Macaca mulatta: one gene and its partners. The protein of the gene in region 2 purifies or fractionates together with the protein of the main gene of each other region. This does not show direct contact. Links are inferred from orthologs where the notes say so. Each region holds a gene or a part of one and is shown on either strand. Other genes may lie near its edges.

Region 1 (4,300 bases), on a different chromosome or scaffold from region 2:
TGGTATTTTTCAAACACGAATTGATTAGACATTGTTGCTATTTTGTTATCTATATTGTTAACATAAGAACTTCCTGTGTAACTATATCAGAATTTTTTTTTTTTTTTGAGACGGAGTTTCGCTCTTGTTGCCCAGGCTTGAGTGCAATGGCGGATCTCGGCTCACCACAAACTCCGCCTCCTGGGTTCAAGCGATTCTCCTGCCTCAGTCTACCGAGTAGCTGGGATTACATGCGCCCGCCACCACGCCCAGATAATTTTTGTAGTTTTAGTAGAGACAGGGTTTCACTATGTTGGCCAGGCTGGTCTCGAACTCCAGACCTCAGGTGATCCACCCGCCTCAGCCTCCCAAAGTGCTGGGATTACAGGCGTGAGCCACTGCGCCTGGCCTCTATGTCGGATCTTAATTAGCCATTTCCTGTTAGAATCCTGCCCCGCTCCTTCTTGCCTTTTCCAGTGTTTGGATAATATGCTGTGAATACCTTTGTGCACTCATTTCTTTATTCAGGTCATACCACTGAAACATACTCCCCAGAATAAAATTGATGATGAAAAGATAGGAACAATTTTATAGCTTGTCTTACATATTGAAGATTTTGCACTGCACTGATGTATTGTTAACTCTGCATGTTTGTCTTCTTTCTAAGCTCTCCTTGAAGAGTTTTTAAATTTTCAGTATACTCCACAGGGTGGCCAAAGTAGAACTGGCTCGTCATTGAGTATAGGTTCAGTTAAAAACAAAAATCTGGCTCAGAGTTGAACACAAAGAATCCAATAAATATAAATGGGTTAATTTTCAGGTACCTTAGCCTTGACTAGTTCCTGTTTTCCAGATGTCCCCTCCTTTTCCTTTTAGATATCTACTTCATTATTTAAACGGGCAATTTCGGCTTAGGCAGTTCTGGATAGCGGTGCCCCTCCTGTATCCATTCTGGAACCTCTCTCGCCCTTCTGCTGTGCAAGGAAACCCAATTCACAGCCGTCATCCCCACTGAAGTTACACCCAGGGGTCGCTTCAAGAGGGAAACGTTTTCTGTAAGAATTTCTATGCCAGTAAATTGGGGAAGGTTTTAAAGATAACGGAATTTGCCACGCGTTTCTGCCAAACAATTCGACGTTGTGTAAATCGCAGAAATTCCGGGAAGGACTAACGACGTCCGTGGATGATTCTGCGGCTCATAGGCACACAGGACACTCAGGGTTTACCCTCCCGGGTTCCGACGGCACGACAGGTGCGAAGCCCGCCCGGGGAAGCAGTGCTTGTTGTCGGCGCAGACCCACGTGCGGCGCTGGGGACCGTCTGTGGTCCCGACCCCCCCCCCCACGAGGCGCGGAAGGCGGCCGCCGGCAGGTTCTCCCTGCCCGTGCAGAGCCGGCCCGGGGGCGGGGCTGTGGGAGGGGCGGGGCCTGCCGCGCGTCACTGCTGTCGTAGCCGCCGGACCGGGTCGCCGCGGCCGCCGAACCGGGGGGCGGGGGGCCGGGGTGAGCGCTAAGATGGCCGCCCCGGCTCGGGCTGGTGAGTGTGAGCGAGGGCGCGGGCCGCGGCGACTGGCGGAGTGAGGACCCCTGCGGGAGCGGACATGCGACGGCAGCCCCCGGGCCGGGAGGCACCTGGGGGAGTATTCCCGCCGCGCAAGGCGCTGGGGTCCTGAGGGAGGGAGAGACGGGGGCTGCGGGCGCGCGGAGGGGAGCGAGCCGAGGGGCGCGCGGCGGCGACGGGTCCGGCGAATTTTGAAGTGGCCCCCTGGGAAGTTTCAGTGGGTTCTGCGGTGCTCGGCCCCGTCCCGGCGGCCGCCTCACGAGTGCCCGGAGATGCGGCGGCCAGGGGCAGCGGGCTGGAGCGGGCGAGCTGGGAGAGAACCGGCGCGGGCGAGGGCTTCGAGGACGCGGAGGGGCTTCGCGCTGACCCCGGCACGAGCGTCGCGGAGAGGCTGGCGCGGGCTGGGTGCTGTGTGGAGCACGCACTGCCCGGGTCCAGCCGCATCCTTCCCGCTGCCCGGATTACCGCGAGGGGATGCTCGAAGCCCCAGGGCGCTTCGGGAGGGCGGTTGTGGCGCTCGGTTTACCGGCGTCTTGCCCGTCTCGTCTCCATCGATCGGTCCCCGCGCTGCCGGCACCTGCTGCCGCTTAAAGATCCCAGTGCTTGAAAATCAGCTTCCTAAAGCCATTCCCGATGGCCTTAGATGGGAAAGAATGCCATATGGCTGAATTCATTATGGGGGATAAGAAATATGTCAGTGTGGGCGGAGGGGAACCTGTTAATACGTTCAAATTTAAGAGTAGGTAAGACACTATTCCCCGCCCCCATGAAAAAAGAAAGTGAAATATAGTAATTGTTTCAAATGCAAGTTTGAGCTGTTGTTAAATTCTACTGATAGCTGGATAATTTCTCGCATTTTTTATACTGCAAGCAAAACCATTTAGGAACCTTGGGAGGTTCACTTTCTCCTCAGACCAGTCCCCAAGTCCCCCACTCCCGCCACCTTTTAAGCCTTAATTGTATCTGGGCAAGTAACGGGGATTGTGAAATTTGCATGGAAATAAGACCTTCAGGTCCTGCACTTGAATTTTTTATTATCTGTTAAGTAGCTGCCTGTGGGGGTGAAGTAGGGCTGGTGACTTTTGGGGCCTGGGATTCCATTTTGAGTTGTGTTCACCACGAGCATTTGGTGTAAACAAGGAAAAAGAATGGGCTGTTCACTGTGGTGAAATTCGGAAAGCCAAATAGGAGTTAAGCACATGCTTATAGAATATTTCATAATCTCAATGAGATTCAATATTCAGTTGCCTTGAAAGAGATGAAAGTTTGTATTCTTGGAACTCTAATCGTTTTGTCCTTAATTTAGCATCTTGGGATATTTTAAAGAGCGTTTAAATGTTTTGGCACATTCAAGTTTTCTCTCCCCATTCTAGCTTTTTTCACACTAGCCATTAGTTTTGCATATGTTCGATGTCAGATTTTTCAGTCCAGTAGTTATCACTGTGGACTATCCAAATTCAAATGTAGAGATATTCTAATATTGAACAGTTAGTCCAGTGCATACAGTTTAGAAAGTTGAAATATTTTGACTACTTCGTGTTTTTCTTCCCAAATGTTAATTGTTTGAGATTTTTTTAGCTTAAAAAATTTTAAGTGATGAATGAACCCGCATTTAGTATACTATACAATGGTACACCTTTTGGAATATTTAAAATGTAGAATCTGTTGAAGATTTGGGTTAGATATTTGAAATAAATTTTCTAGCCAGTTGTCTTTCTCCCTTTTCTACAGATTTATCTTTACTACAAAAAAAGAAAGTGTCATATACACTCTACCAAACTTCTCCTCTACACACTTGAATCTTACTATTACAGCGTTTTGGTTGTGCATAGAGAATTTTTCTGCTCATTGGGTTGAGGGCAGAGGCTGTGTTTTATATGTGTATCTTTAGTAGCTGACTAACTGCTTAACGTGGAGGAAAAACCGCTGTGTAAATTTGCTGAATTGGGGTTTTGAATGGTAGAGGATACAGAAATTTGGCTTCTTGGTAGCCAAAAAAAACAAAAAAACAAAACACGTGCTTCGAAGTCTCTGTCCTTCCTGCAGTGTTAGGCAGAACAAACGTGGGTGCCAGGTTCTAATGGAGTTGTCTGGTCCAGGGAGATTAGCCAGAGGCTGGGGCAGGGGCTCAGGAGTCTAATCAAGATAGGCAATAAATCGTGTGCCCGAATAATTCTCTGGTAACGGGGGACAGTTTTGCTATTAGGCCCAGCCTAAATAGGTGACAAATAACTGAAATACAGAAGGATTCTACAAATAATGGCCTTATGGCTAAAAGATCGTTGTAAAAGTTGTAACTGATATTCACAGCAATTTTAGACACCATAAAAAAGTTTATTAGGAAGAATTCATTTTTGATGGAGTTTTACACGTCATAGGAAAAAGGTAATTTGTAGTCTAACAATATACTTGCTAGATCAGCTCATAGATGTGCTAGAATGACATAGTCTAGGCATTTTACGGACAGAGTATTTGAATTCAATTTTTCAGACCCATGGTAGGATACTCAGTATTACTCTGAATGTTTCTCTCATTGTTACAAAGTTAGCTGCAGTAGATTGACGTGTAAATATGTTGATGTGACACGATGAGAAATGTTTTGGAACAAAATTACTTGTTAAGTAGGGATGGGGGTGAGAAATTCAAATAACCTGGAGACAGAAACTGCTTTCAGTAGCTTTATCTTACAACGTGTTCAACTAGATTCAATCTTTGCTTCAGGAGAGGTATGTTAGAGACGTGAGGAAGGCCCAAGGGAAAA
Region 2 (4,250 bases):
CCAGTGTTCTGGGGCTGAGAGAAGAGTTGTGGAGTGATGGGAGGGGACACGTCGTGCCAAGCTTTGGAGACCATGATGAGAACTCTGGCTCGTACTACTTGGGGGGATGATGATGACCCAAAAATTAGGAGTCTGTTCACTGCTGAAGAGGGCAAAGGGCAGAAGCTCCATTTAAAAGGTTCTAATAAGCCTCAGGCCTTTCTCTGCCTGAAAAACTTACTTTCTGCCCTCTACTTCCCTAGATTACTGCCCCAGTGCCTGGAGGAAAATCAGGTGAAGGCTAAAAGCCACGTAGACAGCTAAAGAGGGCAAACTGGACCTCCAGCTCCACTTCTGCAGGTCTGTCTCAGTCCACACAGCCCTTGCACACGCTCCCTTTTAATTCTCCAAGCATACCTCTCACTTCCAAAACTCCTGTGACTCTGCTGATGAGGGCGTCTCGGCCTGGAATGCTCCTCCTTATCTGCACTGTGTGGGTGTCAAAAAGAGTATATTTTGATGACCTCTCCCCGCCCCTCTTGCTTGCTCACATCCCCTTCACTCCTTTCAAAGTCCGTTCCCAAAGCCCCCAGTTCACCGTCCTGGGCTGTTTTTAGCCAGGTAAGACCTGAAGTGATCCTCTCTTGGAACCTGGTCTGGGGCCTACACATCTGGGTCAGTCTGGGGGTGCTCTCGAAGGGCCACCCTCAAAGAGCGAGCCTCGGCTGGATTCAGTTCCTAGGTCCCAGCCGTCCGACCTCTGCCACAACGCTCAGCAGACCCCTTCCCCTCTCCGGGTCTCAGTTGCCCCGTGAGTACAGTCCCTGCTCCAACACGCAAGGTCAATCGTCTCTGGCTGCTCTGATGCACTCGGTCCCTAACTCAGCCTTAGGTCAGCACAGAAAGCACCCGACCCGGGCGGCCCCGCAGCTCCTCACCCTCCCGCCCCGCCCAGTCGCTGACACAGGGTGGCCTCCAAGGGCAAGGCCACGACTCTTACCCGTCCGCAGGTGCCCCACTGGCTGGCCTCAGCTCGCAAGCAGGCTGCACCCACCGAACTCCAGCCCCGGAACGCCACCCTTTACTCCCCTCCCGCGTGAGCCGAGAATCAGCCGAGCTTCTTCTACCAAGAGGATTGGCCCAGCTCGGCGTCGGCTCAGCCAATTGGCGCTCACGGCTTGATCTTGCCCAATAAAGACAGGTCTCTGTCCCCAGCGTGCCCCTCCCCGCGCTGGGCCTGGGCTTTGCCAGGTTAGTCCCACCCTCTTCGGCCCTGCACCAGTAGGGAGCGGCGGCGGCGAGCGGACGCCCAATGGGGAGCGGGGCTGTGCGCGCGGGGCGGTGGGAGCGGCGCCGAATCAGTGTACACGTCGGTTGCCTAACAACCGGCCGTGGACTCCTTTGGCTATGGTGAGTGCTGCCGCTCTGTCGCGCCCCACGCCCAGAGGCTGAGCCCTTCCCAGGCCCCAGCTCGGCCACGCCGCCTCTCCTGCGCCTTTCTCGGCTTTGACGCACCAGTCCTTCCTTTGAGCTCTTTCCCGGAAGAGTAGGGTACAGACGCTAACCAACCTACTGGGCCTGCGCTTTGCTGCTGCCTCCCCTTCACCCACAACAGGCCCACACCCGCCCCTCGGGCTCCCCTGGCCTTCCCTGATCACCTCGGTGAACCTCCCTGGGCAAAAAAGACTCGAATCCCTCACAGGCCCCTGACTTTCTCAGACCTTGGCCCCCTGGCCGCCTCATTCTGCCAAAATTTCCACACAGAGCTGGGAGAAGGTGTATTGTGTTCTATTAAAGTGTTTTTTACAATTTAAATATAGGGGCATTCAGGGGATGCTGTAGCTTCTTGGAGAAGGCACGAAGGTGTCAGATGGATTGAGTTTTATTACTCGATACTGACACAATATACATCTTAACAACTTGCTAATATTTGGCCAAATCTAGAAGTAATTGGGAAGTCAGAGTGCTTACTGGGAAGCGGAGTACTGGGAGTGGGCATTGTAAGGCAGTTTCCAGAACCAGGATCCCCACATTCGGGAAGAGCTGATTATCTCTACTTATTCGCAGTCATTTTCTTGACTAGCTCTCTTTTGGGATGATTTTCAGTAAGAGGTATCCTTACTGAACAAGTGATCTCCCTGCTTCTAGAAACGACAGTAAAGAAAAGGGAGGGATAGAAGTTCATGGAAAGATTCATTGTTCTTGCCAGTAAACCCTGTTATCTTTCTTGTTAAGCAAAGCTTTGGAATTGGTTGCCATAAAATTATTTAAAACTACATATGGGTGTCTGTAACTATGTTATGTAAATATGGACTGTACGATATATTATTGTGCTTGTGTATTGCATAACGTATGAAGGCCTCCAACTTTAAGAAGACAAACATGGCATCAAGTTCCCAGAGAAAAAGAATGAGTCCTAAGCCTGAGCTTACTGAAGAGCAGAAGCAGGAGATCCGGGAAGCTTTTGATCTTTTCGATGCGGATGGAACTGGCACCATAGATGTTAAAGAACTTAAGGCAAGCTCTATGCATTCCTGCCGTACTGCCCTTCCTTTCCTCTGCCTCTTCCTTGTCATCTCCCTATCACCTCTCTACCCCTTTTGCCCTCTTCTCCCTGCAATAAGTAACAGGGGAGGTTGTACTGTGCTCTGTTTTCCTGTCTTTACTTAGAGTATTATTAAATAAAATTGATTGCAAATGTCAATTAGATCAATGTTATAGTGTTCCCCAATCATATTAACATGACCACATCAGATGCTGGCTTAATGCTCTCAACACTGTTGTTTTTGCTGCTGCTAGTTCAGATGTGCTTATTGAGACAATCCTGTTTTCATTATAGGTGGCAATGAGGGCCCTGGGCTTTGAACCTAAGAAAGAAGAAATTAAGAAAATGATAAGTGAAATTGACAAAGAAGGGACAGGAAAAATGAACTTTGGTGACTTTTTAACTGTGATGACCCAGAAAATGGTGAGTAGCTAAGACAATTTGCATGGTATGGCGCCCCAGTCATCTGCAGAGGCCCATGGCATCTGCCTGTTAAAACAGTCATGTGACCACAGAGCAGTCCAGGTAGCAGCTGCATCAGGAGGCCTGCCCTCCCATCATGTTACCTTGGGCTCCCAAAACAAGCCCTTGTACTTCTTTCTCAAGACTTCCAAGCAGATACCTCTTCCCACAGAATTCTAAACCAGTTAGGAAATAGATATGGGATAGGGAGAGATATAGGGATAGGGAGCAAACGTCACCTTGGATGGAGTGCCTGGCTTGACTGGTGTTTCTCTGAGGCCAAAATGGGCTTCCTGACACTTGCTGCAAGTCTAGACTCGAGTTACATTGTTAAAAAGGAAAGGGTGACCTGACCGGGCAGTGGCAGGGCTACAGGACATGAGTAACCATGGTGTCCCCCTACTCATGTGTTTCATGTTCTATTTGGTAAGTCTGAGAAAGATACCAAAGAAGAAATCCTGAAAGCTTTCAAGCTCTTTGATGATGATGAAACTGGGAAGATTTCGTTCAAAAATCTGAAACGCGTGGCCAAGGAGTTGGGTGAGAACCTGACTGATGAGGAGCTGCAGGTTTGTAATGCATCACACTGGAACTTAAGATTCCCACCTTTGGGCCCTCTGTGACTTTTCTGTTACATTTTCCCTAGTGTGAGCACTTCTTTGAAGGAAAGCCAGTGTACTTTGTCCCTCTGTGGACAACTGAATTCTCCTTTAATAGTCAGACAAACCTATGAACGCTGCTTCCAGAAAAATGCACATAGGCACAGTTTTGCCTACTATTTTACATTCCAGGAATCCCTCTAGTCAAGGTAATCTTCAAGCTCCCTCCCAGGTGATAATGTTTGACAAAGTATGAGTTGGTTTTCAAATAAGTTTTCAGGAACCAAGCTATTATCAGGAGTGGCATACTGGCATTGGGTGGACTACAATTATCTATTCACATAGTGTTATTAAAAGTCTATTGCTTGCCAGGCACAGTGGCTCATGCATGTAATCCCAGTACTTTAGGAGGCTGAGGCAGGAGGATCGCTTGGGGCCAATAATTTGAGAGTAGTGTGGGCAGCATAGAGACCCCGTCTCTAAAAAGAGTCATATTACTTAGTCACCTTTTGGCATTAGTTTATAAATTAATCTAACCTGAATCTTTACTGTCATATAGGAAATGATTGATGAAGCTGATCGAGATGGAGATGGAGAGGTCAGTGAGCAAGAGTTCCTGCGCATCATGAAAAAGACCAGCCTCTATTAAGATCAGTGTCTTCTTT
Region 3 (3,623 bases), on a different chromosome or scaffold from region 2:
AGCCTTAACATATGCTTCTACTCTGTGTGCTTGCTGTTGCACGTTCCATTATATTCCATTATACGCAAAGTTCCTGATGGCAAAAATTGGAAAGATTTGAGTTGCTTGTAACAGTCGACCCAAATAACAGTGACTTAAAATGAGAGGTATTATTTTTCTGTTACATAAAACAAGTCTGAAGGACATTCAGGGCCAGCATGGTGGCTGCATGGTCATCATTGACCCAAGCTATTTCTGTCTTTCTGTTTTACTATCCTGTTGCAAGACTTCTGTCTTCAAAGTTACCTTTTGGTCCAGGAGGAATTCCAGTAGTTTCAGATAGTGGGAAGGCCAAAGGGATGCACCTTACAAGTGAGTCAGCCTTGTATAAGCAGAGTCCCATACAGTCATTCCTTTCATCTTAGCCAGAACTTCCATGGCCACACCATGCAGGCTTGTGAAGCCGGGAAATGCAGTCATAAAGGGGGTCACATTGCACTCCCCAAAAAATTGAGGTTCAGGTACTTAGAAATATGGAGAATGCATATTGAATGGCAAGTCACTGTCTCTGCCATAGCTAGAAAAAACTCTTCACAACCTATGTCTTATACCTTCCCAAACCACATAGGCAAACGACGAAAATCCAATCCCAAACCCCTTGTTCTGAGTGAAGCTAGAAAGCAGTTAATGATCTACAGACTACCTCAGGTTCTCCGGCTGCACCTTAAAAGATTCAGGTGAGCTTGCTGTGGGAGTCCTAGCTGGGTGAGAGCTGTGGGAATAGCTGCTCCAAAGGCTTTGGTGAGGGCAAATGTCTTCTATGGTGTTGGGAGGGGAAGCCTGTTCACTTGAGACCTTGTGTTTTCCATGGAGATTAAATCATTCACATCCACTAAGGCAAATTAATGTGGGAGCCCAGCAGGACTGGGCTTTTGCTGTCATGCGCCTGTGTAATTAATTATCCAGCCTGCACTGGGTATCTGTGCTTAAAGATTTTCTAGCCTGGCTTGGACTTATGTAGAGGTTCATCTTCAGGATGAAATATAAAATAATCTGGAAAAGAAGGGCAGGCAGGAAACTACAAAAAGACTGTTGCTTGAATTGCTTGTTTAGGGATCTCTAGGTTTAGAGTACTTCATGGAACATTCACAGCAAATAAATGGGCCAGGCGCAGTGGCTCATGACTGTAACCCTAGCACTTTGGGACGCCAAGGTAGGCAGACTGCTTGAGCTCAGGAGTTCAAGACCAGCCTGGGCAACATGGTAAAACCTTGTCTCTACAAAAAATACAAAAATTAGCCAGGCGTGGTGGTGTGCACCTATAGTCCCACCTACTTGGGAGGCTGAGGTGGGAGGATCACCTGAGCCTGGGAAGGTTGAGGCTGCAGTGAGCCTTTATTGATCACACCACTGCACTGCAGCCTGGGCAACAGAGTGAGACCCTGTCTGTAAATAAATAAATAAATAAATAAATAAATGTGAACATTGATTACCACCATTTTATTGATGGGAAGACCAAAACCAGAAGGTTTAATTTTCTCAGTTCCCTGTTTTATTAATACCTACCTCTACCTACAATTGTATATGCCGGTTTTTACTAGTAACAAGCTTATATCCATGTTCTAGGTGGTCTGGCCGTAACCATCGAGAGAAGATTGGGGTCCATGTCGTCTTTGACCAGGTATTAACCATGGAACCTTACTGCTGCAGGGACATGCTCTCCTCTCTTGACAAAGAGACCTTTGCCTATGATCTCTCCGCAGTGGTCATGCATCACGGGAAAGGGTTTGGCTCAGGACACTACACAGCCTATTGCTACAACACAGAGGGAGGTGCGTGCGCTTTACTCTGTGGGGTGGGGGACACGGAAAGGGGTTATTTGTCCACATTTTATTGTTTTCCTTTTATTTCCATCCCATGGATTACCTAGAGGGAAATTACATACATGAAAATCCAATGGCAAGAATTGTGAAAGTTGGGTCAGGCGCCGTGGCTCACACATGTAATCCCAGCACTTTGGGAGGCTGAGGTGGGTGGATCACCTGGGGTCAGGAGTTTGAGACCAGCCTGGCCAACATGGTTAAACCCTGTCTCTATTAAAACAGTACAAAAATTAGCCGGGAGTGGTGGCGGGCACTGGTAATCCCAGGTACTCAGGAGGCTGAGGCAGGAGAATCGCTTGAACCTGGGAGGCAGAGGTTGCAGTGAGCCAAGATTATGCCACTGCACTTCAGCCTGGGTGACAGAGCAAGACTCTTATCTCAAAAAGAAAAAAAGAATTATGAAAGTTGGATTCAAATTTTGGGTATATTACTAAGTAACAACGTATGGTTGTTCTAAGAATTAAAAGGAACTGACATGTAAAAGTGCTTAGAACAGGACCTAGGCCCTGTGCAATGGCTCACGCCTGTAATTCCAACACTTTGGGAGGCAGAGGCGGGAGGATTGCTTGAGGCCAAGGGTTCAAGACTAGCCTGGGCAACATAGTAAAAACTTACCCAGGCGTAATGGTGTGCACCTGTGGTCCTAGCTACTTGGGAGGCTGAGGTGGGAGAATTGCTCGAGCCCAGGAGTTTGAAGTTGCAATGAGCTGTGATTTCACCACTGCATTCTAGCCTGGGCAAGAGAGTGAGATCCTGACTCAAATAAATAAATAAAAAGAGCAGTTGCCTAGCACATAGTGCTTATTCAGTCACTGTTTGAGGATATTGTAGTATTATCAAAAATATTGGTTATTGATAATATTACTATTGTTGTGGTAATGCTACTTCTGCACACCCCAGTTTCCTTCTTGGTTATGCAGAAACAGTAGAACCTGTGTAACCTCAAGGAGATACTGTATAAATCTCACTAGCCGCAGCTTATAAAGCTGAGAACATTTACTGAGCACTTACTATGTTCTTACTACTTCCCCCGCCATGGGAAGTGTGGGGATGCAAGGGCCCCTCCAAAGGTGCTTTAGGTCCTCATCCTCCAGAGTGGAGTCTTCCAGCTACTGCACTGACTGATGGGCTGCAGATGTGTTTTCAGCTGTTCACTGTTCTTGAACTGCACAGCCCTTGGGGCAGCCAGAGCCTGTGAATAAATACTTTTGTTCCTTCTAAATTTTCCTTTATCACTCCCCTCTATTTCCATTTCTCCTCTCCTCCTCCCCTTCCTCCTCATCTTCCTCCTCATCTCCCCATTGCTTAGCCTGCAGTATTGCAGCTATCTTTCTAGAAGGCTCTAGTGGACAATAAAAAAGCCTGAAGAAAACAAAGATAAAAATTGCAGTCAGTCGGCCAGGCGTGGTGACTCATGCCTGTAATCCCAGCACTTTGGGAGGCCGAGGTGGGCGGATCACGAGGTCAGGAAATCGAGACCATCTTGACTAACATGGTGAAACCCGTCTCTACTAAAAATACAAAAAATTAGCCAGGTGTGGTGGCGGGCGCCTGTAGTCCCAGCTACTCGGGAGGCTGAGGCAGGAGAATGGCGTGAACCCGAGAGGTGGAGCTTGCAGTGAGCCGAGATCCCGCCACTGCACTCCAGCCTGGGCGACAGAGCAAGACTCCATCTCAAAAAAAAAAAAAAAAAAAATTGCAGTCAGTTGATAAGCGGTACTGTGGGGTTTGGTGGGGTTAAAGCCAGTGGATACACAGAGG

The links.
Region 1: the proteins of centrin-2 (region 2) and USP44 purify together in Homo sapiens (affinity purification with mass spectrometry; 4 studies listed by BioGRID and IntAct, counting the BioPlex papers as one, with this or other methods). This does not show direct contact. The link is inferred for Macaca mulatta from reciprocal best matches to the Homo sapiens genes CETN2 and USP44.
Region 3: the proteins of centrin-2 (region 2) and USP49 purify together in Homo sapiens (affinity purification with mass spectrometry; 3 studies listed by BioGRID and IntAct, with this or other methods). This does not show direct contact. The link is inferred for Macaca mulatta from reciprocal best matches to the Homo sapiens genes CETN2 and USP49.

What each region holds. Positions count from the first base shown.
Region 1 is NC_133416.1:102,884,534-102,888,833, reverse strand, and holds the start of USP44 (ubiquitin carboxyl-terminal hydrolase 44), read left to right. Parts: upstream 1-1,385; 5' UTR 1,386-1,515; intron 1,516-4,300.
Region 2 is NC_133426.1:159,105,918-159,110,167, reverse strand, and holds the start of centrin-2, read left to right. Parts: upstream 1-1,362; 5' UTR 1,363-1,386; coding exon 1,387-1,389; exon of another isoform or gene 1,390-1,755; intron 1,756-2,337; coding exon 2,338-2,496; intron 2,497-2,818; coding exon 2,819-2,947; intron 2,948-3,417; coding exon 3,418-3,555; intron 3,556-4,144; coding exon 4,145-4,234; 3' UTR 4,235-4,250. UniProt on the Homo sapiens protein: Plays a fundamental role in microtubule organizing center structure and function. Required for centriole duplication and correct spindle formation. Has a role in regulating cytokinesis and genome stability via cooperation with CALM1 and CCP110.
Region 3 is NC_133409.1:140,375,225-140,378,847, forward strand, and holds part of USP49 (ubiquitin carboxyl-terminal hydrolase 49), read left to right. Parts: intron 1-607; coding exon 608-716; intron 717-1,605; coding exon 1,606-1,811; coding exon of another isoform or gene 1,812-1,909; exon of another isoform or gene 1,910-2,092; intron 2,093-3,623. UniProt on the Homo sapiens protein: Deubiquitinase that plays a role in several cellular processes including transcriptional regulation, cell cycle progression or innate immunity.